Saccharomyces cerevisiae S288C: one gene and its partners. Changing the gene in region 2 together with the main gene of any one other region gives a genetic interaction. Each region holds a gene or a part of one and is shown on either strand. Other genes may lie near its edges.

Evidence for each region.
Region 1: of UBR1 (region 2) and SSM4, changing one enhances a phenotype caused by changing the other (phenotypic enhancement), as found in Saccharomyces cerevisiae (6 studies listed by BioGRID, with this or other methods).
Region 3: mutations in UBR1 (region 2) and MCM21 together harm fitness more than expected from each alone (negative genetic interaction), as found in Saccharomyces cerevisiae (4 studies listed by BioGRID, with this or other methods).
Region 4: mutations in UBR1 (region 2) and KAR3 together harm fitness more than expected from each alone (negative genetic interaction), as found in Saccharomyces cerevisiae (3 studies listed by BioGRID).

What each region holds. Positions count from the first base shown.
Region 1 is NC_001141.2:295,550-303,749, forward strand, and holds SSM4 (E3 ubiquitin-protein ligase SSM4), read right to left. Parts: upstream 4,461-8,200; coding exon 501-4,460; downstream 1-500. Other genes in the region: SUMO protease ULP2, read left to right, coding at 1-188; EMA17 (Ema17p), read right to left, coding at 5,280-5,708; EMC5 (Emc5p), read right to left, coding at 8,130-8,200. UniProt on the Saccharomyces cerevisiae protein: E3 ubiquitin-protein ligase which accepts ubiquitin specifically from endoplasmic reticulum-associated UBC6 and UBC7 E2 ligases, and transfers it to substrates promoting their degradation.
Region 2 is NC_001139.9:858,690-868,615, forward strand, and holds UBR1 (E3 ubiquitin-protein ligase UBR1), read right to left. Parts: upstream 7,065-9,926; coding exon 1,212-7,064; downstream 1-1,211. Other genes in the region: QCR9 (ubiquinol--cytochrome-c reductase subunit 9), read right to left, coding at 374-571, 785-787; tyrosine--tRNA ligase TYS1, read right to left, coding at 7,647-8,831; transcription factor IIF subunit TFG1, read left to right, coding at 9,085-9,926. UniProt on the Saccharomyces cerevisiae protein: Ubiquitin ligase protein which is a component of the N-end rule pathway. Recognizes and binds to proteins bearing specific N-terminal residues that are destabilizing according to the N-end rule, leading to their ubiquitination and subsequent degradation.
Region 3 is NC_001136.10:1,101,005-1,106,655, reverse strand, and holds MCM21 (Mcm21p), read right to left. Parts: upstream 2,899-5,651; coding exon 2,847-2,898; intron 2,764-2,846; coding exon 1,709-2,763; downstream 1-1,708. Other genes in the region: auxilin-like protein SWA2, read left to right, coding at 1-561; YFT2 (Yft2p), read left to right, coding at 829-1,653; HIM1 (Him1p), read right to left, coding at 3,228-4,472. UniProt on the Saccharomyces cerevisiae protein: Component of the kinetochore, a multiprotein complex that assembles on centromeric DNA and attaches chromosomes to spindle microtubules, mediating chromosome segregation and sister chromatid segregation during meiosis and mitosis.
Region 4 is NC_001148.4:815,234-821,659, reverse strand, and holds KAR3 (Kar3p), read left to right. Parts: upstream 1-3,736; coding exon 3,737-5,926; downstream 5,927-6,426. Other genes in the region: ribosome biosynthesis protein NOC4, read left to right, coding at 237-1,895; rRNA-processing protein RRP15, read right to left, coding at 2,585-3,337; TAZ1 (lysophosphatidylcholine acyltransferase), read right to left, coding at 6,124-6,426. UniProt on the Saccharomyces cerevisiae protein: Minus end-directed microtubule (MT) motor involved in spindle midzone assembly, poleward transport of newly captured kinetochores along the lateral side of MTs, karyogamy (nuclear fusion) during mating, and with an essential function in meiosis I.

The DNA of each region.
Region 1 (8,200 bases), on a different chromosome or scaffold from region 2:
AGTTGGTTGATATTGATGATGTGGCATTTAGTAGTCCAACTAGGGGTATTCCAAGAACCAGCGCGACAAGCAAGGGATCAAATGCACAACTTCTCTCTAATTATGGAGATGAAAATAACCAGTCTCAAGATTCTGTTTGGGATGAGGGCAGAGATAATCCTATACTCTTGGAAGATGAAGACCCTTGAAAGCACTCGCACGCATAGTTTTATATTTTTTATTCTTTTCCTCTTTATTTTTATTTTTTTAACATTCTCGCATAATAATAGTAACAGCAATAAAATAACTAGTAATATACATACTCACATAAATAGGCATATTTTTTATTTTGTTCTTTCGTATTCAGAATGGTAAATTTTTCTAATGAAATGTTTTACAAAAATTTTTTTTCTATAATTCTAACAATAAGAAATAAAACAGTGGAAAAACATATAACTTAATGTAGATATATATATGTAAATATGCTAGCATTCATTTTAAATGTAAGGAAGAAAACGCCTTTAACTTTCATCTGGTAAATTTTCTAAAGCTCTACCCTTAGTGTAAACCTCGTCTTTTACATTCTGTACAGTACTTTTGAACCATTGAATGAACAGCACAGTTGCTTGGAAAAAGAACGTAAATGACTCTAATGCTATCAGTAGTCCGAAATAAATATCTTGCATCCTTGTCCATGTTGGGAATGATTCGTTAAGCGATAAAGTGAAACTCCTGGATCCATGGCTAATATCGATAATCTGCTTTGTAGAAACATCACGTAAAAATACTAAGGATAAAATAATAATCGGCAAGACGTAAATTACCATGTGCAGGAAACCTTGTTTAAACAGTTCCAAAGCCATTGTTTTCAAGAAGTTCAATTTACTAGTATTTCTGTTTCTGAAAAATAGTTTCAATGACTTATATCCGGTTCCGAAATTGACCATTGACGAAATGATCCAAACGACGAATAACAAACTCTCGTCATATTTAAACCATTTGGAATTACCAATAGTGTATGAAGAATTGCCAAACACTCTGATGGTGAGATAATTGTAACAGGCTAGTATACCATCGGTTAAGACGACCCACGAAACCATAGTTCTAATAACCGCAATCATGATAGCTATAAACACCATCAGGTTATACTTCACCAACATACTATCAAATATACTGTTAAAGATGGCCATGAAAATTCCTTGACCCTCTTCCACATTATTGATATTATTAACAGGGGCATTGTTGATATCTCTCTCTGGTATATCGTGTTCCACTTCCTCTACTTCGTTTTCGTCAACGGCATGTTCATCGAGAGTGTTTTGGCCTTCTGTAAAATGAAGAATATCCTTAGCAATCTTGGATAAACAAACAGATCCGACACAGACATAATAAATGTTCAAATAGGAGTAGCTAATGTCAGAGAGTTCCTTCCATGCAACATAGACCTTATTTCTTTCACCTAACAATAGCTTTACGACTGGAAGAAAGCCGAAACTACAAACAAAGTTTATTAAAGCTTGACTAATAAATGTAACACCAAGCATTAAAATGGAAGCAAATAACCAAACCAGGCCAAGCAATGTCATATAGCGTAAACGGAAATCTGGAGGGACGTAAACGATATAATATTGATCATATTCCGTGTTTTGTTCGTCTAAATAACCAAATTCACCAGCAGCACGTTTGTTTCTCTCTTTAATTCTTTCCAAATCTAATGGTTTCAACAGCTTATCATCCTTTGTAACGGGGACAAACATTGTTTGTACATAATTTCTGGATACTATATCAGAAGAAGGAACACGCATTAAAACGCCATCGGGGACAAAATAAGCATGAACGTCACGAACTTGCCCAAACAATTCTTCTGCTTGTTCTAGAGTCTTTGGTTTAGTGAAAAGTTCTTGGTTTGACCATTCTGCATTCTTGGCAGCAATGTACTTGTAAAACAAATTGCGGTAAACAATATGGCCTCTCTCTGTTGGGGTATCTTTACCTAAGATAAAGGATGATAAACGTAATTTTCTTGAACATAACTTAAAAATTGTTTTCCAATACCTTTCCAATAAGGGTTTAACGTAAGAGCTAGACTCCAGGATCCTCTTCGTAAAATATAAAGTTAGCAAAATTGTATTGAACTTCCATGAAATAATTGATGTTGGTTTATAAGCTTCAGGAACGGATAATAAGTTCGATTTGAGCATGAATGGGAAAAAAATTCTAGTATGGAAGCCAAAACCTAAGACAATAAAAATCGCATAAATAAACATGGATAAGCAAAGCCTTGATAATTGAATACTCATCGGATGAATTAAACTATCATGCAAGATCTTAATATTAGGATCTTCTGGAGATCTGATAAAGAATAGAACACCTGGTCTAATGATATTTTTCCTAATCATTCCGATATATTTGGCAAACCAATACATGTAGAGAGTACCAATCGTCCAGTATACGAAAAGGGAAAATGGAGGCCATATTGCGCATATTGAAGGAACCCAAAGCATCCGACTATTGGATGCCAGGATTGGGCAAAATAATGAGAAATCTAGCATTACACCAGCTAGAATGGGGAATCCAGCCAATTCGATGAAAAATAAAGTGAACACCTTGAAAGTGCATTTGAGTGCAAATAAAATCTGGAAAATCAGCCTTCTAGTAGGGTTGCTCATTCCGTTCTCACGGCCATAACCCCTCGAGACAAGATTGGATGAAGCACAAACGATACTGACTGAGGTTAGATACGTCGTTAAAGCAGGTAAAGCTCTGATGAAAATTGAGTGCTTCATGGTGTTTTCAGTGTAGCCGTTGTAAAGATAAATGATGTCATGAATTAAGTGGTCTGAAATCCAACTCATCGCGACATCTACTTTAGGGACCAGTTTCGTCAGCCCATTGTAAGCTATATGAGCGCCAGACAAGTAGTAAAGATGGCACAACCCACGCAAAATAACCTTAAATATACCAAAATAAATTTTCAACAAACCGAACCCAATAAAAGTTGGAAACAAATAGGAAATTGCCAGGTATATTGCGGTGAAAACTACGGCAATTATGAAATAAGCAATGACATTCAACAATTTCAATTTGAGATTTATCACTAGAGGGCCTTGTCCTTGATCGTCTGGGTTAGCCTGTGCTGGTGGCACACCAACAGCTGCGCCAAAGTCTTGTTCGTCTTGATCGACATTTCCAGCTCTGTTTTGGGCAGGTGGTGGGATGAAAACCGGAGCGTTGGGCCTGTTTATTGCGTTCTGTTGAGCAGCGATTAGGTCATCAAATTCATTTTGCGCACGACGATTTGCCCACATGTCAATCGGATTGGGCTCTATATGATCACGGTAATCTGCCTCTTCTTCTGGTTGCTGCTGTTGCTGTTGCCCCTCTGCTTCTTCATCTTCTTCGTTGTCACTTGAAGACCCCGGTAAAATTCGTGACGAATCATCACCTGATGGTAAACTATTGTCAGAGTCGTTGTTCTCGTGCTCTTCCGTAGCCTCATCATGATCTAATTCGTCTACGTGGCGAAGGTTTTCAAAATTCCGATGGTCATTAGGATCCTGAGGTGGAACGTTATCGTTTCTGGGATTAATAACATTATTATTATTATCTGCTGCTGCGGCTGGCATGTTCAGTCTATCATGACCTTGCTCTTGACGATTTTCGTCATGAGCTCTCATTTCCCTCGCTAAATATTCAACCATTCTATCATCCATCATGGGGAATCTTTCCTTCAAACGTGATTTCAAGTCCTTGGGAGATAATCTTGGACCTATCTTGTGGAAAACCATTTTACTGAAAACATCCTCTCTTACTATCATATCGTATTGAAAGTACAATGCTATATGTAGTATCACTATCATAATAAATTGTAAAGACGTAAACGAATGGTTTTGTAAAAGTTGGTAAAAAATTGCTCTCGTGGTTAATTCTGGAGTTGCTGACTGATCATAACCATAAATCAAACTCTTTAGGAAATCACCAGGATAAGGGGATGATCCATCTAGCATCATGGTGTATAATTTTCCAAACATGTTCCATACCAAAGGAACACCGATAATATATAGTACAGCGGCCAAACCAATCGTTAAAGCCAAACGAGCTTTTTCGAAAAATGTCAAGATGCTCTTGGATAGTAGTAAAGAAAAAGGTATCTTTTCGGGCATGTTTTCCGCATATATCGTTTTGAATTGAATGGGATAGTGACAGATGTCACATTTAACATCCGCGCCTGGTTTTGAAATGTCTATATTTTTTGAAGCTACCCATTCCAACAGACAGGATTCATGCATGTATTTAATTGAGCCCCTGCATTTACAAGGATGGAAAAGAGGATTGTCCTCAGTAGCTTCTCCACGACAAATACGGCAGGTGGCGCCGGATGGCGCATCATCATTGAAAGTGGCGGTATCTGTTTCCTCGTTTGCCACCTTATGCAGTTCATCTCTTAACCTGGAGACATTAACGTCAGAATCAACATCCATGACTTTCACACTTCTAGTCTCTTTGATTCAATTAGTGGTACTCTTGGCTAAAAAAACAGTTTTTGAAATCAGTAACAAAGAACTATTCTTAACGTAATCTTATGGCTTCATAGATCGGTCATAATCATCTTTTCAATGTCCTCAATCGATGCGTTTTCAACCAGTTTTCCGTCTCTAATGATTTAATTTTTCTATTGAATTGAAAATGGTAAAAAGATAGCCCTGTAGGGGGCTCGAACCCCTAACCTTATGATTAAGAGTCATACGCGCTACCGATTGCGCCAACAAGGCTATTTCGTTGGAAAAACTACTTATTTTAGGAAGTAATAGCACATTTAAGATGCTTGTTGGAATGAAACTTTAAAATATCATCTGTTTAGTACTATTCATGTTACTAATTAAGATATGGGTGAATTTTGAGATAATTGTTGGGGGTTCCATTGTTGATAAAGGCTTATAATATTATGTATACGGAATATACTAGAAGTTCTCCTCGAGGATCTAGGAATCCTCATAATGGAATCTATATTTCTATATACTAATATTACGATTATTCCTCATTCCGTTTTATATGTTTCATTCTCCTATTACATTATCAATTTTTGTATTTCAGCTTCCTCTAACCTCGATGACAGCTTCTCATAATTTACGCCATCCTCTTACACCGCATGTGATGCTATTACTACTAAATAGATAACATTAGAATTTCATTCCAACAGCTTTAGTCTGTTTTAATAAACGCAACAGCACCATAATGTTATTAATTTTAATAAAGCCAAATTATGGCCTGCTGATTTCTTTTCATTGGTAAAAGTTCTATCACCCGTTCCCCATTAGTATGATAACCGATAAATAAACTCTATTACCTGGTTTCTTCGTTCCAGGAACGTTTATACCCTGACTACACATTTCTTTTGAAAAATAGGCCAATTGAACAATTAAGTTAGAAGCGGTTAGAAAAAGGTATAATAGGAAAAAATGCATCCAATTTTTACAGTTGAACCACTTGGGGGATTTTATTCTCGTATTGTAGCGGGAGCATTTTATCTTCGTACATCTTGGAAGCTGTAGATTAATCTTATTCCTATATGCTCCTTCAATCCACACAGCAAACCCCCAAATGGAAACGATCACTGAGTATGTTATAAACCAGCTTACGCTTATACTATTATCAAAATTCAAAAGATTGAACGGGGAAAATGGTAGAAATGAATATTGAAGCATTTTCGCAATGAAAATTAACCGCATTGTTTTTATAGTAATTCTGATGGCTAACGGCGGTAATACAGCATCCTTACGAAGAGCGGGAATAGTTCATTTGCCCTCTTTGATGGTTTGCATAACTGCGTTGTTGATTGTCTTAGGAATGGAAATATTTAACAAATATACCTATAATGAAAAAAGGGTCCTTCTTTTTAATTATTATTGGCAGCGAAAAAGTTGTCCCAGCTTCTACTTTTTTTCCCGTTAAAAAAGGAAGCGGCGGAAGCTGATCTACTCTCTAATAATAGACTACTCACTCGCATCTTGGTAACGAGTCCCTTTAAGATCTTGGTACATAAAGTTTGCTGCAGCAAAAAGGGCTTATTTGCGCATTCATGATATTAAACAACACCCTGTTTAGCGTGTTAATGATCCTTGTTTTATGCCAGTATATTCTGTATACCTTATAATAGAGTCAACAGTTAAATCCTAATCATTACCTCAGGACTTACCTATTTCTGAATATCATGGTCCACCATTCTACCTCAGTGAATTGATTGAACCGCACCATTGGAATTGTCATGGTGAGCCAGCGTGCTACAACTTCATGATTTTACGAGCTGAAAAAACACGCCCTTAGGCATAAAAACTCAATGGAAATCTGTAAAACAAAATAAATTTCGCTTTTTAACTTGGCCTAATGGGAATACTTTAACAATTGAACCTGTCACTAAATCAGAGGAAGTACATGCCTAATTACTCAAAGCTGTATTTAACTAATTTACCTATACTATCGCCAGGCATTCAAGGATGAAGACATGCGTCAATGCAAATAGTGACGGCTGCTGCATTAAAGAGGTGCTGCGTGGTGTAGAAAAGGCAATAACATGGACGATGCAAGGTTATTCAGACGCGTTGTTTGTATGCCATTTCCAATGATAATGTTGGTTGCGTTATATAGAAATGTGTTAGGAAGAGATTCTACAGTTGATTGCAGCTTTGACGTTATACTTACACCTTGGATAATGGCCAGTATGTTTTCCAAACGTATGGTGAATTGGTCTAATCCACGTCAAGCTGTTTTAAAAGTATGCAGCGCAGCCGTGACCTCCCGGATAGTTGCCAATTGGTTGTTTACGATGAACATATTATATACCAGTGGTGAAAAGGGTTTTTACTCGCTAGCAACAGCTGTGGTAATTAAAACGGTCACTGATGGGTTTACGGTGATACGGGTTTTCTCTATTCACCTGAACGAGTCAGTATATAGCAAGCCATTACCATAACATTGGGTAACGTCGCACGCAACACAGCTGCGGGTGTGTGTGGTGATTGGTTAGTCAATTGGTCATTTGGGCTGGTAATAGGGCATGTTCCCCTTACAGCTTGTACTGTCTCATTGGGGTTTGCTCTTATTGCTGGAATAATAAATGGAAAGGTTAACGACGACACAAATGGTTTTCGACGACCAAAACAAATTAGCAAATGGCAACCTTTTGTATTAGGGCTAATTAATGTAAGCGATGTTACCATTTTGTCTATTTCTGGCGGTGGACTGGTAGCTTCTTCATGTGGAGGTGCAATAGGCTATGCTACTGTCATTAAAACTGTTGCTACCACAAATGCACGTTTCGCGATTACTGAGGTGATCAAGGAAATAGTTATTCGTTATTCATCACAATTAAATGCAGAAAAAGTTTGTGAAGAATAAAAAACTCGAGCCGGGTGGTAAATTGTTTTAGTACGGTTAGCATCGGTTTAGTACCTGTACCAATATGTGTCACTTTTGTTATTTCTGCAGGCGATAATACTTATAATAAACGCATACATGATATCATAACTGCCTTTATACGGCACCTTACAACTAGCATGGGCGTTCAAGTGGTGGAGAACTATTACCTGTTCCTGAAATAACAGAATGAATCATCAATAAGGGCTTGTCTGTACCTCAGGATGATTTGAACAAGTTCCACTTACGCTAACATGAGGATGAATATCGTACTTATACTATGTAAACTGGAATAGAAATATTCCGAACGGTTATCCATTAGAGTGTTAGCCCTCAAACCGAGACTCTCGATAATATTGAATAGAAGATTTTACCACTAAATTTAGTGTGTATTTATGTATCTTAATAACAAACTATCCAACGAAGACGCAAAAGATACTATCCGCCCCGTAATCCTTTTGAAACCACTCAAGCTTATGGTTCACGTTATAGAACACAGGAGACGCTTGCATTATTGGTGATTCTAATATAGCTTTCTATTCCTCTATGAAAGGCGTCTGTGTTGGTGTAAATAGAAGAGGTGCCTGGTCACCTGACGCCTTATTTTGTGCAGTTACGATGTTCGAGTAGATTCGCTATCGAATTTATGCTCAAAATCTAGCTAATCCTCTTATTAGATCTTGATATGTATATATGTATGAAATTATAAGTTCTAGCTCTAGTTTTCAGTATCTTATTTATTTTTCTTTTTTTACAGTGTTAGAGGCCCATTCCCTGCAAATTTTTCTCTTCATATGAACGTCAACAA
Region 2 (9,926 bases):
TTTAATAACGTCGAAGAACAGTATTGCACTATACTTGCTTGGTATAGATATGTACAAAATATATGTATATACATAAAATGAGTTATTCTTTTTCCTAATTCTCTTTTTCCTTTAGTAGAATATAAAATTATAATAAGGATTTTGTGAACATCTGACAGACAGGCTCGTTCGTGTCTATTTCCATTCTGAAATTTGAATGCGCTTTGGCGAGACATAGATTTGTGTCAAAATATGAAGTTGAGTGCCTTTATGAGGTTGGGTTGAACATGAACAACCAGCCAAAATAAAAAAATAATAAATAAGACGAGTGCCACTTATATAGCTTGAGAGAGAGAGAGAGCGTTTGCACGTATATGTGTGACATAATCAGCGTTTACTCATCATCGTCGTCTCCATCGCCTGCAGCTATTCGAGCCTTGACATCTTTCCATAATTTTCCTTTGTTGTGATTCTCGTACCATGAAGTAATAGCAGTATCAAATACAGTTTGGAAAACAAAGGCACCTGCAAAGATAGTACCAACAAAAACAGCGTTTCGTTTGAAAAAGGTTTTATATAGTGATGAAAAAGACTACTCATAATTTATGCATTGTTAGTAACCTGAATGGAAACGCATGGAACATATTCATAGAGCTGCTGTCACCAATTTCATAAGCTTCGCTAAGTCGTTGCGCTCATCGGTGGGAAACTAATTTCCAAAGCCCATGATACTTGGCTAAGGAAGATTCCACGGATAACATTTTTAGCCTGAAATGTGAAGCAGCACACACACACACCAACATACCATTTTAGTCCGTATTGCTATTGTTGCTTTACGAAATTGCGAAGGATATGAAAATCAACCTTCAACGATTATTGACTATCCGTGACAGGACATTAAATACAACTGCTAAGCTAAAGTTTGAGAGGGGATGTCATTAGGGAAAGGCCCAAGGATTGAGCAGCTTTTAGGTCCTAGAATTCTTTCGGCATTGACTTCCCCGCGTTTGATTGGGTCGTGTATAATGATACATATTAACAACTGGGGAGTTCAAAAGTTGCCTTCGCTAGATAAGGAAACTTATGATAGTCACTTCGAAGTATTTGTAATTAGGTTGGTATTACTTCTTTGTTAATAATAAATAAAAGTCAATCGACGCGCAAATGTTTAATAATGTATAAGTTTTTATATACAAATATGTCAACTATAAAACATAGTAGAGGGCTTGAATCTACCAAATCTCTCGCTCATCAGAGTCATCATTATCATCAGAGTCATCCTCATCGAGGTTTCTTGGATTTGTATTTCTTATGATAGTAGCTCCATCAAATTGAGGTCCTAAGAACTGCAATATTGGTGGGGGATTCTGAGGTGCATCATCATCGCCATTTCCCTGCGGTTGTAGAGTGTTCCTAAAGTTTTCGAAGAATTGGAAAAAATCACGTACTCCGCCACCAGCAATACCTTCTGCGCCAACCCCAAATAAGTTGGCGGCCTGTCCAGTTTCATCATCAACATCCATTTCGTCATTTCCCTCCGTAAAAAACCCGTCTTCTCCCTCTTCCATATCTTCATCATCTTCATCTGTTGGAGGTATTCTTCTTGGCCTTGGTTCTCTATTAAATGCAAACAAGAAACCATTGGAAAGTATAGTCACTCGAAATTCGTCACCCATTACTCTACTAATATAACCTGGAATTTCATTGTTAATCCATAATCTGTTTAAGTGCTCATATCTTTTCAAATTCAAGGTGGTTAAATCACCTCTTCTCATGGCATTTCTACCAACTTCACCATGCGAATTTAGATATGGTGCAGATATAAAAATATTAGAAGGAGGCTGTGTCAAATGGAGACAAACTTCACTTGAATTGGGCATCAGGAAGGCGCCAAATGGTTTAAAACAATTTTTATTCAAATGCTTGGTCATTTCATGGCGGTCCGCTCTTAAATGCACTTTGACACCACATGTCAAACATATTTTGAAATCTAATCGATTATCCGCATTCTTCATATGCTGAGAACGCTCTTCACGTAGCTTGATTTCCTTAGATTGGGTAACGTAAGTATTCAAATATTTTGATAAATCTATCAGTTTTATAATCCCACAATATTCATATGGGATGTTCTCCAAATATGGATGCGATACAATGGACTCCTGCGTTGTCAAAAGATCGACTAAGGATTCTTTTTCAGTAATCATTTTCAATGCCTTATTGACAAACTCGGCGGTATCTTCGAATTCCAGTTCTTCTTCAACCTCATGACCGTTGATGACCAGCGTTTCATTTTCAGAATCTTTCACTAATTCGTGTAGCACTTTGATAAAGACTAAGCACCTTCTTATCGTAGGAAGAAGACTCTTCAACAGGAAGGTATAAGCTAGATCATAAATAATACTTTCGGAGTCCAATCCCTCCATTCGTACATCAGATATGGTCCTTAGGGCGAAGAGCATCTGCTCACTTACTTTAAGAACATCCCCAATTTTGGACGCTTTAGCATACAATTTGGTAACCTGTTCTGCATCAGAAAGACCCTGAAGAAAATCTCTTAGAAACTGTCTAGAGAACGTTGTTAACGCCTCTGTAACAGTCTGACGAAGTGAAACTGGAGAAAATAAAGCGCTTCGAACAATATATTGGAAGAGTTGATTTTGGTTCCAAACAGTATCGGGCTGCTGCGGGTACGGTTCAAACTCCATACTTGGCTTGCCTATGACAAAGGTGAACAGCATAATGCAGACTAATATATTTTTTAAAGTTTTGTATTTCTGTTCCCTGCTTCTGAAAAATGAAATACTGTATGGCTTTTCTAACCTAGAAGCAATTTCTAACATTGAAATGGTATTTGCCCAGTGCACACTTAATATTAAAGAAACGTCCTTATGCGAAAAGTTGGCCCGCTTTCTTACCGCTTTATCAAAACCTTGACACTGAGATATCATCAACGAAAATATAGAGTTTATTGTACGATAATTTTCCTCAGTAAAAGGTTTGAAGAGCCTTGACAATGTATCCAAAGAAAGTTCTGATTCCAAAAACATATCTAGCGACAAACCAGTATTTGCCTTTGAGGTTTGACAAAGAGGTAAAGTACAATTCGAAAATGTTTGGCATAAAGGACATATAAACGCGTTTGATGAAAATCTCTTTTTTTGAACGTACCTCTTGAAGCAGTTATGATGAATGTGATGATTACAGGATACAAATACTTTCCTAGATCCACAACTACCGTTTTCCTTCAAAGCCTCTAAAACATCATCGTCAATATAAGCTTGTTTTTCATCATCGTTGTAGAAACCATCCCACATGGGCATAAATTCATTTGGGTTAAAAATATTACCAGGTCTAAATATCGGGGAATGATCATGGTACGCAGGTATCACAAAAAAATCGGTCGAACTGGAATCTTGACATAGTGCGCAGGTAAAATCCTCCGATTCATATACTTTTTCACCGACCATGTCAACATCGTTATCCTGCTCATCAAATTCAGACTCATGTTCTTTCATGAATTTCGTTTGTTGATTGTTAAACTTGGCTAGAAGCCTTGCTTGATGTTTCTTGGCCAATCTTCTTTTTCGTTCCTTCTCTGTCTCTTGTAAGTTAACTCCTTGGCGTAGTTTCTTATCCTTATAATCATTAACGTATTGGTTGCCAAAACTGGCAATTAATGACTCAAAAAGTTCATTTGGTTTTTTCATTATCATCTTCTCTAACAAATAGTCGGCTTTACGGACAATACTCTCGGAAAATACGTCTGATTTAGCATTGGCTATGCTCAAGAGTAAATTACATATAGGCTTTGACAAATAAGCTTCTGGTATAGAGTCCTTACCATTTATCAATTCATCATCCCTGAATATACCATGAACTAAATGTAGTAGCTCATTCAGGAAAGTGCTATCCTCCATATCCAGACATACCTGGAGTAGTTTATAGACCACTTTGGCAAATACCGTATTCCTTGTAAAAGCACCCAGATTGAGAGCGTCTTTATCTAACTGTTTTATTGAGACTTGGGGTATTAGTACAACTTTTGCTATTTCATCCTTATCCTTAGCCAAATGTGATTTAATAATAGTTGCACTACTTTCGAATTCGTTTTCCAAATTCAGCAACTTTAACGGATCAACCTTTGCATACAAGCTTGCTTTTAATTTAAAAACACCATTGTCGGCCAAGCCCTTAGGCTCAACGAAAACAGAGACTTCTTCAAGTGCTTCGTCAAACTCGGTAGTATCTTCAGTTAGGTAGTCAGGAACTGATCTTAGTAGCTTTGAATACGAAAGGGGTTTCATGTAAAGGTTATAAATGATTGAATTTTTGATTTGATCCATTCTTCTATCCTTTAGAGAAGAGAAAGTTTTAAAATATTGTCTTTCGGTCAATATTTGATAAATAAAGGCAATGAATTGTTGAATGATGAATGAAATTTTATCCTCATAGACAGTGTGTTGATAGTCAACTTCACCTGTAAACCAGTCTAGTAATTCCCATCTATCAAGAATATTGTATATTATTCTCGGAATGTCATCACGTTCCCAAAGGATAGCTAACTGATTCAAATGTATATCTCTGGAATAGGAACCTAATTCGGGATTGTTTTTATAATACGATGCTTGATGTAACACAGACATACCATTTCTTACCCAAAACCCGACGTCAATTTGAGAGCACAATACAACTGATCTCAAAGAGAAATCCGATATTTTCAGAAAATCTGAACAGTCTTCTAACGCTTCGTATGCATCCTTTAAAGACACTTTTTCGATAAGGAATGAAAGCATTGTTTGTAAAGGATTCATAAATGCAACTCTTTCGTGGCTTACGCTAAACTTAATGACTTCATGAGAATCATATATTAACTTGTATGTTAGTGATCTATTGCCTAGAAATGAACTGATAATTCTTATTGCATTTAAAAAAAGCTTTGAATCAATGGAATCTTTTGATTTTTCGCTAACTTTTTCCGCTGTTTGAATAATACTGTAAATGGAGGTGGTATATTCTAAATAGGAGATGAAATTTTGATCTTCGTGAAGAACATGTTCACCTTCTTTACGCTTTATCTTCCACGCTCCATTGAAGAGCTTGCAAAGAGTTAATAGAGATATTATTTCCTTAGGTCTCAATGGAATATTAGGATCATGTACCTTACTCAATAAAGTTTCAACTGTATACAACCCTTGCTTGAATGATATACTGTAACTCTTTGTTAAATTGCTTTTTTGAACTCTCTGCCAGATCAATACACCACCTTCCACCTTACAAAACTCCTTAAAAATGTCTATAATTGACCACACAATATCCAAAAAACTTTGGTTTTCGAAAATATTTTTGGCATTCGTAGGGCATGTAAATAACTGTACGACACACTCTCTTATAGCTGTTAGCTGAGGTTCTCTATCCATATATGCCACAGATCTTGTGATGTGGTTGAATATTTCGACTACCTGTTGACAGAAAATGGGCTTGTATAAATTTGAAGAGGCCAACGTTGGAATGATCACATTCTGAATATCTTTTCTCAGTCTTTTCCAATATCTGTTATCAAAATAAAGAATATGTTGTAATCTTGTATTAGAATATGTTCTTGATGTTGGAGTTTCTACATCATTTATCAATGGTGAAAGTGAATGGGTGCTTGATTCGGGTAGAATTTTGTGATGACCCAAAGGAATTTGATTGCCATCTGCAAGGATAGATAAATCGATGTATCTGTAGGGATCATTCTTATCGAACTTGTTGCTGAAATATTTCTCCACCACCGGTGTCATATCACGACATTCTGTTGCATTTAAGTATTCTGAACACAGGGTTTTACCCATCATGTTCCTAAAAGTGGTTTGGAAGGAGGAGTTTGGTATGTTTAAACAGTGTGTAATCCAAAGGATGATATACTTGCATGTTTCTTGATGAAGATATTCTGACCACGATGTTAAAGTGGCACTTAATCCATTCGTTTGAACAGCAAAAAAACCACCTAAGACAGATGATAAATCTTGTGAACATTTCAACATTGCTCGACCTTCTCCGTCAATCCTGGATGTTAATAGATCAATGTGTACGTTATCTGGAACCCCCTGTCTCAAGGCAGTCGTAGCCTGCGAATAGTTATGATATTCATCGTTATATATTATTACCGTGTAATTTTCGGGATCGATTTTCGCAAGCGATGGAGATGCCTCAGGGCTATTAGAGGGGCTCGTCTTTGCTGTTGTTGTTCCGTCAAACATATAATCGTTTTCATATTTTAAATCGTTTAAAAACTGCGCTCTTTCATACATTTTTCCCTGTTGTGTCATCTCTCTTAATTTGATAGTGATATCTTTCTGTATTGTGGGTAGAGGTTCGATATTCTGGTTAAAAACATCGATAAAATAGTCAAACACTTCTGCAAGAACCAACTCCACTAATGCTATATTCACTGAATCATTCCATACATCTTCTTCCTTTATGTCGGCATTTGTGGCGGGATCTTCCGATATATCGTTTTCTTGTTCTTCAGCTTTGCAATGAAGTGGAGAATTCCAAGCTTCTTCATCTCCACAGTCACAAATTCCACTAGTGAATTCAGTACATATATCGGTACAAACATGATGATTCACATGATCTTTTGGATTAAAACAATGAATACAAAGCACACAAGTATCATCGCAACCACACTCATGACACCTATACAAGGGTTCCCCTATTTTGAATTTCCTCCCACAATTTCTTCCGGTATGTTTATGGACGTCTCCTATTCTGGATTCATCTATCTTATAAAACGGAATAGTTTGTTGAGATGTTATCTTATCAATATCCACAGCATCTTCTAAACTGTCAGGAAAAACAGTAAGCTCTGGGTTAGATAATTTTTGTTTTGGATGAGCATTGAATAAAGTAGGTAAGTTCTCTCCGCTGTTAGAAATGACAAAGTATAGATATCTGTAAATGAACTCTTTAAGGGCTCTGCTCATGTCAGCCCTTTCAGTAGGACCTCTCGTATACCTAAAATAGGGGAGGTTATGAATAGACCTCAGTGTTCTCCTAATGTGACCTTGTAAAGATCCTAAATCATCATCAGCAACGGACATATTGGAATGTTCTATGTAATTTGTGTGACCTGTAAAGATTAGGGACTTCAGTGAGAGAAAATAGTCAACTAATAGGATACAGTAAACTTCAACTGCCTTTGTCCGAAGATGCGAAGAAAAAGGAAGAAAGGTGGTAAAAAAACTTAATAATGTATCGCAATAAGAAGGAGGGGCAAAGAAAGCAGGATGCTACTATTAAAATAGTTTGCTTTTGTTAAATGCCCAGTTTCACGCTATAAGTATGCAAAATTAAAGAATAAAAAGCCCAATGAGGAATAAAGCAGTTTTATTGAGGTGAGACTAAAAGGGTCTAGCAATGAAAACAATATATGTTTCCTTTTTAAAATGTACCAAAGTCTTTATACTCGCTCGTTGATGTACTGGGCGTTATCAAAACTGTTTGCCACTGGGTAGTTGCCTTATGGTCACTATCTGCAAGTTAAATTCAATCGCAAGAGGAAGAGAAAATAAACCGTCGCATCACTTTTCTACACTTACCCGGTTATTAATTTTATAACGTTTATATGATATATCTTTTCTTATTTATTATATTATGAATCGTGAAAACGGATTAAGCTATGCTTACAATTTGGTTTCCTCTAGTTTCGTGGCAATCTCGTTGGTCTTAGTAGCGCCTGGGTACTTAGTACCCTTATTCTTTGGTTTCTTAGCCTTTTTCGACTTTTGTGGTGTGGCAACTGGATAACCCTTTTCGGAGGCCTCTTGAAATTCCTTGTTGTTGGCAAATTCTTGTCTGATTGGCTCCAATAGCTCGTTGATAGCGTCAGCAACACCAATTTTTAGATCAGGTGGGGACAATTTTTCTTCTTTAAAAGCCAATTTCATTTCTTCGAAGGATTTGTAGGTAATTGGACCACCGAACTTTTCTGGTCTATCAATGAAGAATTCGAAGTGATTTGTACCAAACTTCAATTCTTGGATTGGTGCAATGACATATTGGACAAATGACAGTAAACCATTCTCTTCGACGTTACCGGGGCTACAAAATGCACTATTGATCTTTTTCTTAACTTGCTTTGGTTCTTCCAAAAGGTCGATTTTTGAATTCGGATCAGAGGCAGACATTTTACCACCTTGAGCCAAACCTGGAACCATAGGGTTCATTAAATGTGCTCTTTTCTTGTAGCCCAAACTTGGTAAATTTTCTTCCGCTAAGACAAAAATTTTTCTCTGGTCGACACCACCAAATTGGCAATCAACATCTAAGAATTGTTCGTCCAACGCTTGCATTAAAGGATAGATAAGCCCACTCAATAATGGATTGGCGACTTGCTTGACAACATCAGCGCCTGCCCTTTTAGCATCGTTTTGTGAAACAATGTTGGATAATCTAAAGATATCCATGGTATAGTCTGGAGTTAGCTGGTAAGAAGAGCCAACAACAAATTTTAGCTTTTCAATTGGAACATTGATGCTTCTCAAGATAGCTTTGATGGTCAATTCATAGTATTTGGCCCTATAGTTCACCACTTCCAATGGCGCCTTCATGTTGTCCAAAAAGGCGTGCAAGTCTGCTAAAAGAACAGTCACTTCACAACCTGCTTTCAAGAAATCAGCAAGCTTGGTCATAGGAACAAAATAACCACAATGAGGTCTTCCAGTGGGCGCGGTACCCCAGTATAATTTCAAATGTCTCTTTTGTACTTCGAGAACATCTTTGATGATTTGTGGGTTCAAGACTTCTTGCAAGTTCTTGGTAATGAGACCGAACGCCTCATTAGGGTCAACCGTGGCAGCAGAGGACATGTTATCGTCAATTAGAGTATGCGGTTATGGATGCTAATCTCTTTTTGACAATGACTAATTTGTATTCTGAAGAAAGAACAATTAATTTTCATAAAATTTTTCTACTTTGTAAATGTTCGAGTTCCGTTCTTAGTGATGCTCGAATAAGGACCTTCTCGCCTCCATGATAAAATAAAAATTATGATAGTAAGAAGTATGGATGGTTCGAAAGGTTGAAGAATAGCTAGGGAGGCCTATTCGAGTAAGCGCAAGGATGTCCAGACGCAATCCACCAGGCAGTAGAAACGGGGGAGGTCCGACGAATGCCTCTCCCTTCATTAAAAGAGACAGAATGAGAAGAAATTTCCTGAGGATGAGAATGGGTCAAAACGGCAGCAATTCTAGTTCCCCAGGCGTACCAAATGGAGACAACAGCAGGGGATCTCTTGTCAAAAAGGATGATCCTGAGTATGCTGAAGAGAGAGAGAAAATGCTTTTGCAAATCGGTGTCGAGGCCGATGCTGGCAGGAGCAATGTTAAAGTAAAGGACGAAGATCCTAATGAATATAATGAATTTCCCTTAAGAGCTATTCCAAAGGAGGATTTAGAAAACATGAGGACACATCTTTTGAAGTTTCAGAGTAAAAAAAAGATAAACCCTGTAACAGACTTCCATCTTCCCGTAAGACTGCATAGGAAGGATACGAGAAACTTGCAGTTTCAGCTAACAAGAGCAGAAATTGTTCAAAGGCAAAAAGAAATTTCTGAGTATAAAAAAAAAGCAGAGCAAGAAAGAAGTACTCCTAACTCGGGTGGTATGAATAAATCAGGAACGGTCTCGCTCAATAATACTGTTAAAGATGGGTCTCAGACACCTACTGTTGATTCAGTTACTAAAGACAACACGGCCAACGGTGTGAACTCCTCCATTCCTACTGTAACTGGCTCTTCTGTCCCTCCTGCTAGTCCTACTACTGTATCCGCCGTTGAAAGTAATGGACTGTCAAATGGTTCAACTAGTGCAGCTAACGGTTTGGATGGCAATGCATCTACAGCGAATCTAGCTAACGGAAGGCCGTTAGTGACAAAACTAGAGGATGCAGGCCCAGCTGAAGA
Region 3 (5,651 bases), on a different chromosome or scaffold from region 2:
TTCAAAAAAGCACTAGAAACATACCAAGAGCTGATTAAGAAGAATTTTTTTGATGATAAAATCATGCAGGGAAAAAGAAGATGCCAAGACTTTATTAATCCTCCCCCTGTTAAAAAATCCATGCCCGTTAAGAAGAAGACAACGACAACCTCGCCTGCAACAAAAAAACAGAACTTAACCGCTTCTTCTTCAAATTCTCCAATTTCTGTTGATAGCACTTCAGAAATAAAAAAACGGGAGCTAGAAAACGCTAAACTGGCGCTATATGATAAAGTATTTGAGAAAATTAGCTCCTGGAAGGATGGCAAAGACGATGACATTCGTCATCTGTTAGCAAATTTATCCAGCTTACTAACATGGTGCAATTGGAAGGATGTCTCTATGCAAGATTTGGTTATGCCTAAGAGGGTCAAAATTACATACATGAAAGCTGTAGCCAAGACACATCCTGATAAGATACCAGAGTCCTTGTCCCTGGAAAATAAGATGATTGCAGAGAATATTTTCAGTACTTTAAGTATTGCTTGGGATAAGTTCAAACTGCAGAATGACATTAACTGATTTCCCTTGTGTGCCTGCTTCGCTCAGTTGTTTTTGATATGTACTTTATACAAATATATATAGGAAAACAAATTCTTCAAAGCGCGTTAGGAAAAAGTATGGAAAGGCTTAGTTTCATTTATTGACTTACAAGTGGCACCCAATTTGATTAATATGAAAAACAATCTGCAAAAAAAAAAAAAAAATTCAAAATATCACAATGTTAAAACACAATAGAAATAGGGCATTGTATTAAAACCACTGAACGACTAAAAATTGAAAAAGATTATGATACGTCAGCTCAATTATTGGTCAAGGAAGGCGTATCTCATTTACCCCTTTCAAGTTTTTGTAGGCGCATTATTATCAATAGTAGTATCTTCAGAAACATTAAACCATCAAAAAGAGACATGCGCTCTATTGAAATCGTCCAATATTTTCAATGTTATTTTTGCATACAAAGCGAACCAACTGTGGCCATTTTTATTCTTTAGTTTGGCTTTTCTGCAAATATACTTCCACTATCTAGCAAGAATGGATATATTGCCTTTACCAATATCAAGTACCGAAACTAGCTCTTCCTATTTAACATATACTAACCATTGGCCTCTGCTCAAAAATAGAATAATCAGTATTATGATCACTCAATATGCTTGCAAGTTCGTTCTAAAATATCTATTATTGTTTTTGAATTTCCAATTTATCGATCATGTTTTCATTTGGACAGGGGGAGAATGCAGTTCTGGTAGTAAAACGACATCAGCTGAAAAGTGCCGTCTAGAAAATGGGAAATGGGATGGTGGGTTTGACATTAGTGGACACTTCTGCTTTCTTGTGAGTATAAGCATGATTCTTTGGATGGAACTTCACTTATTCAGTAGATTTGTTCAAGCTGAAGATATGTTTTGGGTTGTGAATAAGTGGGTACGAGCTTGCCTTGCCATTGTTTGCGCTGTCCTAGTAATTTGGATATGTATTCTCTGGGTTACCGCTATTTATTATCATACTATCTTGGAAAAAGTGTTAGGTTGCCTTATGGGTTTCATATGCCCTGTTTTCATATACCACATTCTACCCAAAATTGGGATACTACACAATTACTTATATCTATGATAAACAGAGAAAATTAGCTCTATCCTCTTTCTATAAAGTATATTTTTGTTAACATTCACTTGAATATTGTCGCGAAAGAATGGTTTAATTTTAATTCCAAATCATCCAAAGAACCGAGCAATGCAATTTCCCATTTACTTTTATTATTTTGACTAAAATCATGAATATCGTCCAATATTGAACATGAAACTATTTCATTTTGTTTTACAAACAACTCGACTTTAATATCCTTCACAAAAAACGAAACCATTGAAGATTCTAAATCTAAATCTAAGTCGTGGATTATCTTCTTAGCTTCTAAGTCCTTAAAAATCTGTCGTCTTTTCTGTACTTCCACAAGTTGCAGGAAGACTCTTTTAGCAAATAAATAGGCGTCATCATGAGATATCACTAGTCCCCCATTGGTGTCATCAAATATACCTTGGACATCAATGAAACTCGGGATTGTATGCTTGAACAGGAACCAACTATTCGATTTGATCCTCTTTTTCAACAATACATAGTGAGGTTTTTCAAATTGGGATGTCCGTTCGCTGAAGACTTCCAGTCGTATTCCCAGCATTTCTCTATCAACAAATATTTCACCGCTAGCATCTTTTATCTTAAGGTCAATAGGGTCCACAAGAGGGAAAAATGTTATACCAAACATTCTATAAACATTTTCCAGGACAATATAATCTTCCAACTCACTTCTATCACTTGTACTAATATCGTCTATTTTTAGTTTTCGCTTTCTTTTTGAAGGTGACGTTAGAATGTCTGTATCCAATAAATCTGCCACCCCAGGATCAAACATTTGATGCTGAACCATTGGCTGGGTCTTTAAAACCCATTCTTGTTCTGGTAAAATTTCCTCATTCTCCAGCTTAGCTCTTTTCTTTGGTTCATACGGTATTGGCGTTGCTGGTATATCCGCTTGCGCCCTTGATATGTCCTTGTCATCTGTCTCTTCCAATTCTGGATGCTCATTAAATAAAAAATTATTCAACTGTGGGAATTGATCGAATAGATCTTCAAATTCTTGTACTATAGGATTAGCGCTCTCCTCATTTTTTCTTTTATCTTTTATCTTCGCTTTGAGCTTCTCACGACTTTCTTCTAATGAATTGACTGTGAAGATTCTACTATGTTAGTGTTCAACTTAATCATTTTTTTAAAAGAAAGAAAATTGTTACAGCCTCAAAATCACATACTTTCACTGAGTAAAGATTCAATGTCCTGCTGTAAATCATCGATTCTACTCATTGCCAGGAGCGTTACTGATAGTTTGAAAGAATTGCTCAAGTAAAGAAATCACATTTTCCCCTCATTATCCATATGGCTTTTGTTTGTTTTTTCTTCAGTTTTGAAATATGCGCGTTTTCTTACCATCATTATAAACTTAGGGAAGATCTATCATAGAATTGGTCGGCCATTACTGGCGATTAGTAAAACAATACATAAAGTTTGCATATTCAATGCGATAAAAATTTAAGACGGCCCAGGTATCGAATCCATGATATAGTGGTTCTTTTATGTATTAGGCTACTATTTATTTAATAACTTCGCATCTATCAAAAGAAAAGACTGACTGTTCACACAATCATATCAATTTGATAACTGCTAATTACTTCCAGCTTAGGTCCCGCCTCTTTACTTTTCCTTTCAATCGCCATCAAAGAGGCAACATAAGAAACCTTTGAAACTGGGACAGCGTATCCTAATAATGCAGATCCTGGCATCCTATATATACTGGAAGCAATTATTTCGCTTAACTTTGTTCTTAAGCCAATCCTTCTGGCCTCACTGATATATTTCTTTTTATAAACTAAAAGATAGTGAGGATAATAAAAAATTTTTTCCAAGAAAGTGGAGTTTTCTTTACCCAATTCAACGTTTATAGGATTTCCGTGCTGTCCACACATCGGACCTGGCCTCAAAATAACTAGCTCCTTTAGCTTATTTGGCAAAGCTTCATCCAAGTCATTTTCTAATTTAGCTTTTATTCTAAAATACTCGAAAGTTTTACTAAGAAAATCATTATTAAAGGCAGTTGTAACCACCAACCTTTTGTTAGTTGTATTCGTGAATTCTTGTGCTAAATTAAAAGGTAAGTAATAGTCAGCAAAGGAACTTGGTACCTGAGTTCTCCGCACTCTAGCTGAGGTGGAGCCCAAAGAGCACACCATAGTGCTAATATCACACAGACTAGGCAAACTTCTACCGGGAACGTAATTTTTGTTGTCAATGTCAAACTTTTCCAGCTTTTGTGTTCCTGAGAATATCCGTGGAAGCAATTTTGGCCAAGTTTCAGATCTGGGGATGATCAATTGCGTTACAGTAAAATTACAAATGATCTCAATACCTTTTTCCTTTCCGCATGCATAATGTAGTGTGTAACTGAACTGTTTCTGATTATAAACAAAAGAATAACCATCTTTTCCCCTCTCTTCAGGCGTATTTTTAATAAATCCTTCTTCAAAATTATCATAACAAAAAGTATTAGGACTAGACGGTACTTTTTCAGTGTCTTTTTCTTTCCTGCTTCTCAAGTAATATCTGCCACCTTGCCAAGTAACTGATCTCATATTTATATAATCAATGGTCTTCATAAATGATTTCTCCTCATTGATGCACCTTCTATTAACACAAAAGACATGTTTATTGAGAACGACATTTCCCTTTATTTCACTTAAGCTATCAAGCTTGCCTTGTAGGTCCGAAACATTTTTAATATATAAATTTATGTCCAACAGGTTCTCTAAAATACCTTTTCCTACTAAACTAGATGATCCAAACAATAAAACGTAATCTGTAAACGTGTTGACACTATAACTCATTTCTGATCAACCTTTCTAGTTTGGAATATTCTTCAAAGGGTCTATATGTATAAAAAGCTGTCATTTATATTAAAAAGAATTTATAGCGTTTACTGCGGATCAAAATTAAATACGTCAATTTTTCTTAAAATTTCTTTTAATCTAAATGACACAAAAAATGTCACCCATCATTATATGTATTGAAAACCAAAAAAAAAAAAGGAAAATTATACTTTCAATGAAAGACACAAAAATGAAGAAGTTCAAGGATATAAAAGTTAGTTTTTACCTGTTGAATTATATGCAGAGTTACTGTTAAATTACAACAACTTATCGTTTCTTGATGAGTATTCAAGGTGACGGAATATTATCATATATGATGTAATAAAATGACATAAATGATAAGAATGCGTTATCAAATTTAAAAGCAACTGAAACGCACGGATTGATGATAAAAAAGGATAACGATTGGTAACATTTAGACTAAAGAATAGATCGTAATATAGGAGATTTGAGAAATATGTGGGTAATTAGATAATTGTTGGGATTCCATTGTTGATAAAGGCTATAATATTAGGTATACAGAATATACTAGAAGTTCTCCTCGAGGATATAGGAATCCTCAAAATGGAATCTATATTTCTACATACTAATATTACGATTATTCCTCATTCCGTTTTATATGTTTATATTCATTGATCCTATTACATTATCAATCCTTGCGTTTCAGCTTCCTCTAACATCGATGACAGCTTCTCATAACTTATGTCATCATCTTAACACCGTATATGATAATATATTGATAATATAACTATTAGTTGATAGACGATAGTGGATTTTTATTCCAACATACCACCCATAATGTAATAGATCTAATGAATCCATTTGTTTGTTAATAGTTTGAATGTTTTTATCGGAAGAGGTTTGGTCATTACGTCTGCAATATTCTTTTTGGTTTCGATATAGCATACGTGCAGATGATTTCCTGATACTTCATCTCTTAGTCTCATTGCTTTAGTACCAAAAAATCTGTTTCTAAATTTCTCTTCATTATTGGATATAATTATACTGATTGTAGATTTACTGTCGGTTAGTAATCCTTTAGTAATTGGTTTCTTGTTAAGTTCTTGCACAAGGTGACTGAGGTTATTTAATAATGGGACAGATTCACTTATCGCGTGTATTTCTGCTTCCGTAGTT
Region 4 (6,426 bases), on a different chromosome or scaffold from region 2:
TTTTTATACCTGTTAAATGAAAATCGAAAAAAAAGAAAAAGAAAAAAGTTTTTCAGCACTTCTCTACGGGTAATCCTCGTATTTGAAGGTTTAGGGCTATTCTTGAAATTTTTCACTAAAATTTTCCAACTGAGAAAAAAAAAAGTGTATTACGGTTTTGATGAGATGAGATGAGATGTAATTATCATCCTCTATTGCCATGAAGAGAGATCTATTAAAAAGAAACGTCAAAGAATATGGTATTGCTTATATCAGAAATTAAAGATATTGCCAAGAGGCTGACTGCTGCGGGTGACAGAAAGCAGTACAACTCCATTATCAAGTTAATCAATGAACTAGTGATTCCAGAAAATGTTACTCAATTGGAAGAAGATGAGACAGAAAAAAATTTGAGATTTCTGGTTATGTCGCTATTCCAGATATTTAGAAAGCTGTTTTCCCGCGGCGACTTGACCCTTCCTTCGTCCAAAAAGAGCACATTAGAGAAGGAACAGTTTGTTAATTGGTGTAGAAAGGTGTATGAAGCGTTCAAGACGAAGCTGTTAGCTATCATTTCGGACATACCTTTCGAAACATCACTTGGGTTAGATTCGCTTGATGTCTATCTTCAACTTGCAGAGCTGGAATCAACTCATTTTGCATCTGAAAAGGGCGCACCATTTTTCCCCAATAAAACATTCAGAAAGTTAATCATCGCCCTATGGTCCTCGAACATGGGTGAAATAGAGGATGTCAAAAGCTCGGGTGCGTCTGAAAATTTAATCATAGTAGAATTCACGGAAAAATATTATACGAAATTTGCAGATATTCAATACTACTTTCAATCAGAATTTAACCAACTATTAGAGGATCCAGCCTACCAGGACTTGCTTTTGAAAAACGTTGGTAAATGGTTAGCTTTAGTAAATCATGACAAACATTGCTCTAGTGTTGATGCAGATTTAGAGATCTTTGTACCAAATCCCCCACAAGCCATAGAGAACGAGTCCAAATTCAAGTCCAATTTCGAGAAAAATTGGTTATCCCTTTTAAACGGCCAATTGTCTTTACAGCAGTATAAGTCTATTCTGTTAATTTTGCATAAGAGAATAATACCTCATTTCCACACTCCAACTAAACTAATGGATTTCCTTACTGATTCCTACAATTTGCAAAGCTCTAATAAAAACGCCGGTGTTGTTCCGATCTTGGCTCTGAATGGCCTTTTTGAATTGATGAAAAGATTCAACTTGGAATATCCAAATTTTTATATGAAACTTTATCAAATTATAAATCCAGACTTAATGCATGTTAAATACAGAGCAAGATTTTTCAGGTTAATGGACGTATTTTTGTCATCAACACATTTATCCGCCCATTTAGTAGCATCTTTCATCAAAAAGCTAGCCAGACTCACCCTAGAATCACCACCCTCTGCTATTGTCACCGTGATTCCCTTCATCTATAATTTAATCAGGAAACATCCGAATTGTATGATTATGCTGCACAACCCAGCCTTCATTTCCAACCCATTCCAGACACCTGACCAAGTGGCGAACTTGAAAACTCTGAAAGAAAACTATGTAGATCCCTTCGATGTTCATGAATCGGACCCTGAGTTAACTCATGCACTGGATTCCTCTCTGTGGGAGCTGGCGTCATTGATGGAACATTATCATCCTAATGTAGCCACGTTGGCGAAGATATTTGCTCAACCATTTAAGAAGCTAAGTTATAACATGGAAGATTTCTTAGACTGGAACTATGATTCTTTGCTCAATGCAGAATCTTCAAGAAAGTTGAAGACACTTCCTACGTTAGAATTTGAGGCTTTCACAAACGTTTTTGATAATGAAGACGGCGATAGCGAAGCGTCATCCCAAGGTAACGTCTACTTGCCTGGGGTAGCATGGTGAAAGCGAAGATGAACAACGAAGTTTTAAAAGTGTGTATATATACATTTATATCAACAGAGTCATCGATTTCCCTTGTTTGAGATGTAAAAAAAAAAAAAAATAGAAAATAGTAAGTCCCTGTTATCAATTTTGCCTAGGAAAAAAACCTGGGTCAAAAATAAATGGTCTCTAGCGGGATCGAACCGCTGATCCCCGCGTTATTAGCACGGTGCCTTAACCAACTGGGCCAAGAGACCATTCTATTGTTGAAGATTGTTTAATTTAGATAAACTTTCATAATGTTGAGAATTGCTTATTGCGATATATAAAGTTGAACCAAAGATCAATTTCTTTTTATGTATTGTAGAGAATTACAATTTGAAAAAGAGCTAAGGGAAATTGCTATATTCTAAAAGAAGTGCACAAGTACATTACCTTGAATTTTTATATTTATTCATGATATATTAATATTAATATATCGATGGTGAAGGACACCACACCTGTATTTCTTTGATTGAAAACAATTTTGTAACATTGGCTGCAAAAGTTTTTGCAATTGATATGAAACTATATGATAATATAGAATGCAAACAAAATTCAATTGCAAGGAGGAGGGAAGATATAGGGCCCCTTTCTCGCTTGACATAGACTAAATAATATACAGTTTTTATTTCTTTATTTTTTTTCTTCTTTTGACATGAACATGTTGATTATTCATTGTCGCTTCCTGCGGCAGCTTTAACTAAATCCAAAAATTTTTCTTTGGAAACTTCAGTGATCAATTCTTTCTTTTCTTCTTTATTCTTAATTTCGCTTAAATTTTCGGATACTTCCTTTTCTGTCTTGACTTGAGTTGCTAAAATGGCGTTAAATAATTTCACGGCACCTTTTTGAGCTATCTTTCTGAGCGCTGTCTCCTTCTCAAGGACTTTTCTAATATTTTCTGACCTGTCTTCTCCGGAAGCAATTGGAATAATATCCGTCTTTCTGGCTTTACCTAATAACTTTTTTTTTTCTGCCAACAATGCTTTTTTGGCCTTGTATTCTAGCTTTTCTGACTCACTTTGCTTCAGCACCTTTTTGTTTCTAGCCATGATGGGGTCCTTCCTGTCGTATGCTTTCAGATGTGATGATAAAATAGCATTTACTGCAGCAGAAAATCCAGTAGAACCATCATCATGTTTGCTGTTTTTCGATTTTTTCTTTCTTGGGAAGTCGTCGTCCTCTTCTTCTTCATCATCATCTTCTTCAGCATCACTTTGTTCGTTATCTATAATTTTAGATGATTCATCGCTAGAGCTATTCTGCTCGTCTTCTTCGGCTTCATCACCTTCCATTATTGTATCTTTTTCCGGCTCATTACTTAACTCTTGGTTGCCACTATTCCTTTTTTCACGCCCAAATTCTGCATTCTTTCTGGTTCTTTTCTTATCCTTAGTGTCTACTCTGTGCTTGGAGCCCATGATCAATTATGTACTGATTTTCCTTCGGCTTCTCTATCGCTTTATTCATAGCATCTGTTTATTACCTTTCCTTATATCTTATGGGCATCGAATCCTAGATTTTTTTCTTTCAAAATTTTCCAATAAGAGGGTAATGGAGATACACCAAAATGAATCTCAAACAAAATCAAAACAAACACTGTTTACAATTTGATGCGCCTCGAATCAAAATATGATGATGAGTATTACAGCTAAAAAAATTATCGAATATTATATAAGCATTAAAGCTATCAATTTTTCCGCTCTTTGTGTTTCTTATTATTCTATTTGAATATACCAGAACAACTATCCGGAGTCTTTGTTTAAAAAAGGTAGATTTTGAAATAAAGGACTTAGAGAAATTCTGGCAACTATTAAACTATGGAATCACTTCCACGTACTCCCACAAAAGGCAGATCTACGCAGCATCTCTCGACACCATCGCCGAAGAATGATATTTTAGCTATGAATGGCCACAAAAGAAGAAATACAACAACTCCACCGCCTAAGCACACTCTTCTGAAGCCGCAACGTACGGATATTCATAGACACTCATTAGCTAGTCAGAGTCGCATATCCATGTCACCTAATCGCGAGCTTTTAAAGAATTATAAAGGTACAGCAAATTTGATTTATGGAAACCAGAAAAGCAACTCCGGTGTAACTTCCTTTTATAAAGAAAATGTTAATGAACTCAATAGAACACAAGCAATCTTATTTGAGAAAAAGGCAACACTAGATTTACTCAAAGATGAACTAACAGAAACGAAAGAGAAAATCAATGCCGTTAATCTCAAATTTGAAACCCTTCGTGAAGAAAAGATAAAAATTGAACAGCAACTGAATTTGAAAAACAATGAACTTATCTCGATTAAAGAAGAATTTTTGTCAAAGAAGCAGTTCATGAATGAAGGACATGAAATACATTTAAAGCAGCTAGCGGCATCTAATAAAAAAGAGCTGAAACAAATGGAAAATGAATACAAAACAAAAATTGAGAAATTGAAATTTATGAAGATTAAACAGTTTGAAAATGAAAGAGCGTCGCTTTTAGATAAAATAGAAGAGGTAAGAAATAAAATCACCATGAACCCTTCCACTTTACAGGAAATGTTGAACGATGTTGAACAAAAGCATATGCTTGAAAAAGAAGAATGGCTTACAGAGTACCAATCGCAGTGGAAAAAGGATATAGAGCTGAATAATAAACATATGCAAGAAATCGAAAGCATAAAAAAGGAAATCGAAAATACATTAAAACCTGAGTTGGCAGAAAAAAAGAAGCTCTTAACAGAAAAGCGTAACGCGTATGAAGCTATCAAAGTAAAAGTTAAAGAAAAGGAAGAGGAAACTACAAGGCTGAGAGATGAGGTGGCATTAAAACAGAAAACTAATTTAGAAACTTTGGAAAAGATCAAAGAACTTGAGGAATATATAAAAGACACTGAACTGGGTATGAAGGAGTTGAATGAAATTCTGATTAAAGAGGAAACGGTTAGACGCACATTGCATAATGAGTTACAAGAGTTAAGAGGAAATATACGAGTTTATTGTAGGATTCGTCCAGCTCTAAAAAATTTGGAAAATTCTGATACTAGCCTTATTAATGTTAATGAATTTGATGACAATAGTGGTGTTCAATCTATGGAAGTGACGAAAATACAAAACACAGCGCAAGTGCATGAATTCAAATTTGATAAAATATTTGATCAACAGGATACAAATGTGGATGTTTTTAAAGAAGTTGGTCAGTTAGTGCAAAGTTCATTAGATGGATATAATGTTTGTATCTTCGCATACGGACAAACAGGATCTGGGAAAACTTTCACGATGTTAAATCCAGGTGATGGTATCATTCCGTCCACAATATCTCATATATTTAACTGGATCAATAAATTAAAGACAAAAGGATGGGATTATAAAGTTAACTGCGAATTCATTGAGATCTACAACGAGAACATCGTAGACTTATTGAGAAGTGATAATAATAATAAAGAAGACACAAGCATTGGCTTAAAGCACGAAATACGTCATGATCAGGAAACTAAGACTACCACGATAACGAATGTTACGAGTTGCAAGCTTGAGTCGGAAGAAATGGTGGAAATAATCCTGAAAAAAGCAAATAAATTAAGATCCACCGCTAGCACAGCATCAAATGAGCATTCCTCCCGTTCACACAGTATTTTCATAATTCATTTGTCTGGATCAAATGCAAAAACTGGAGCACACTCGTATGGCACACTAAATCTTGTTGATTTGGCCGGTTCCGAAAGAATAAATGTCTCTCAAGTTGTAGGGGATAGATTAAGAGAAACACAAAATATAAATAAATCTTTAAGTTGCTTAGGTGACGTTATTCATGCTTTAGGTCAGCCTGATAGTACCAAAAGACATATACCGTTCAGGAACTCAAAACTGACATACCTACTGCAATATTCACTCACTGGGGATTCGAAAACATTAATGTTTGTAAACATTTCACCAAGCTCCTCTCATATTAATGAGACTCTCAATTCGTTAAGATTTGCGTCTAAAGTGAATTCTACCAGATTGGTTAGTAGAAAATGAGGTCAAGGCCTTTTCTGGTCTTTTTCACTCCTTTGACAAATGACAGAGACTGTCCATACATTCATCACATGTAACTATATTATATATGAAACTCATTTTAATGCGCACAGATAAAAAGCAAAGTAAGTAATGAATATTTGTTATGTAAAAATGACCTCATACATGCTAGTATTTACACGAATTTAATTGCTTAAATTTCAATCATCCTTACCCTTTGGTTTACCCTCTGGAGGCAGAAACTTTTGCATCCTCCTTATTGCCCAATTTTCGCCAATGACTTTAACATCTGGGTCCGATTTACCTTCCGTGGTGTTGAACCGCTTCCACCATGAGGGGGATTTGAACCTAGGGTCTTCGCGTGGTAATTTGCGAACTTCATTTCTAATTTCAGCAACATGGGCTCTCAGTTCAGCGGCTAATCTGCTTCTTAAATCTTGCGCCTCTTTACCATATTTCAATTCGTCAGAGAGGTCGTTAGGATTTTTGGGATCATAGTATTT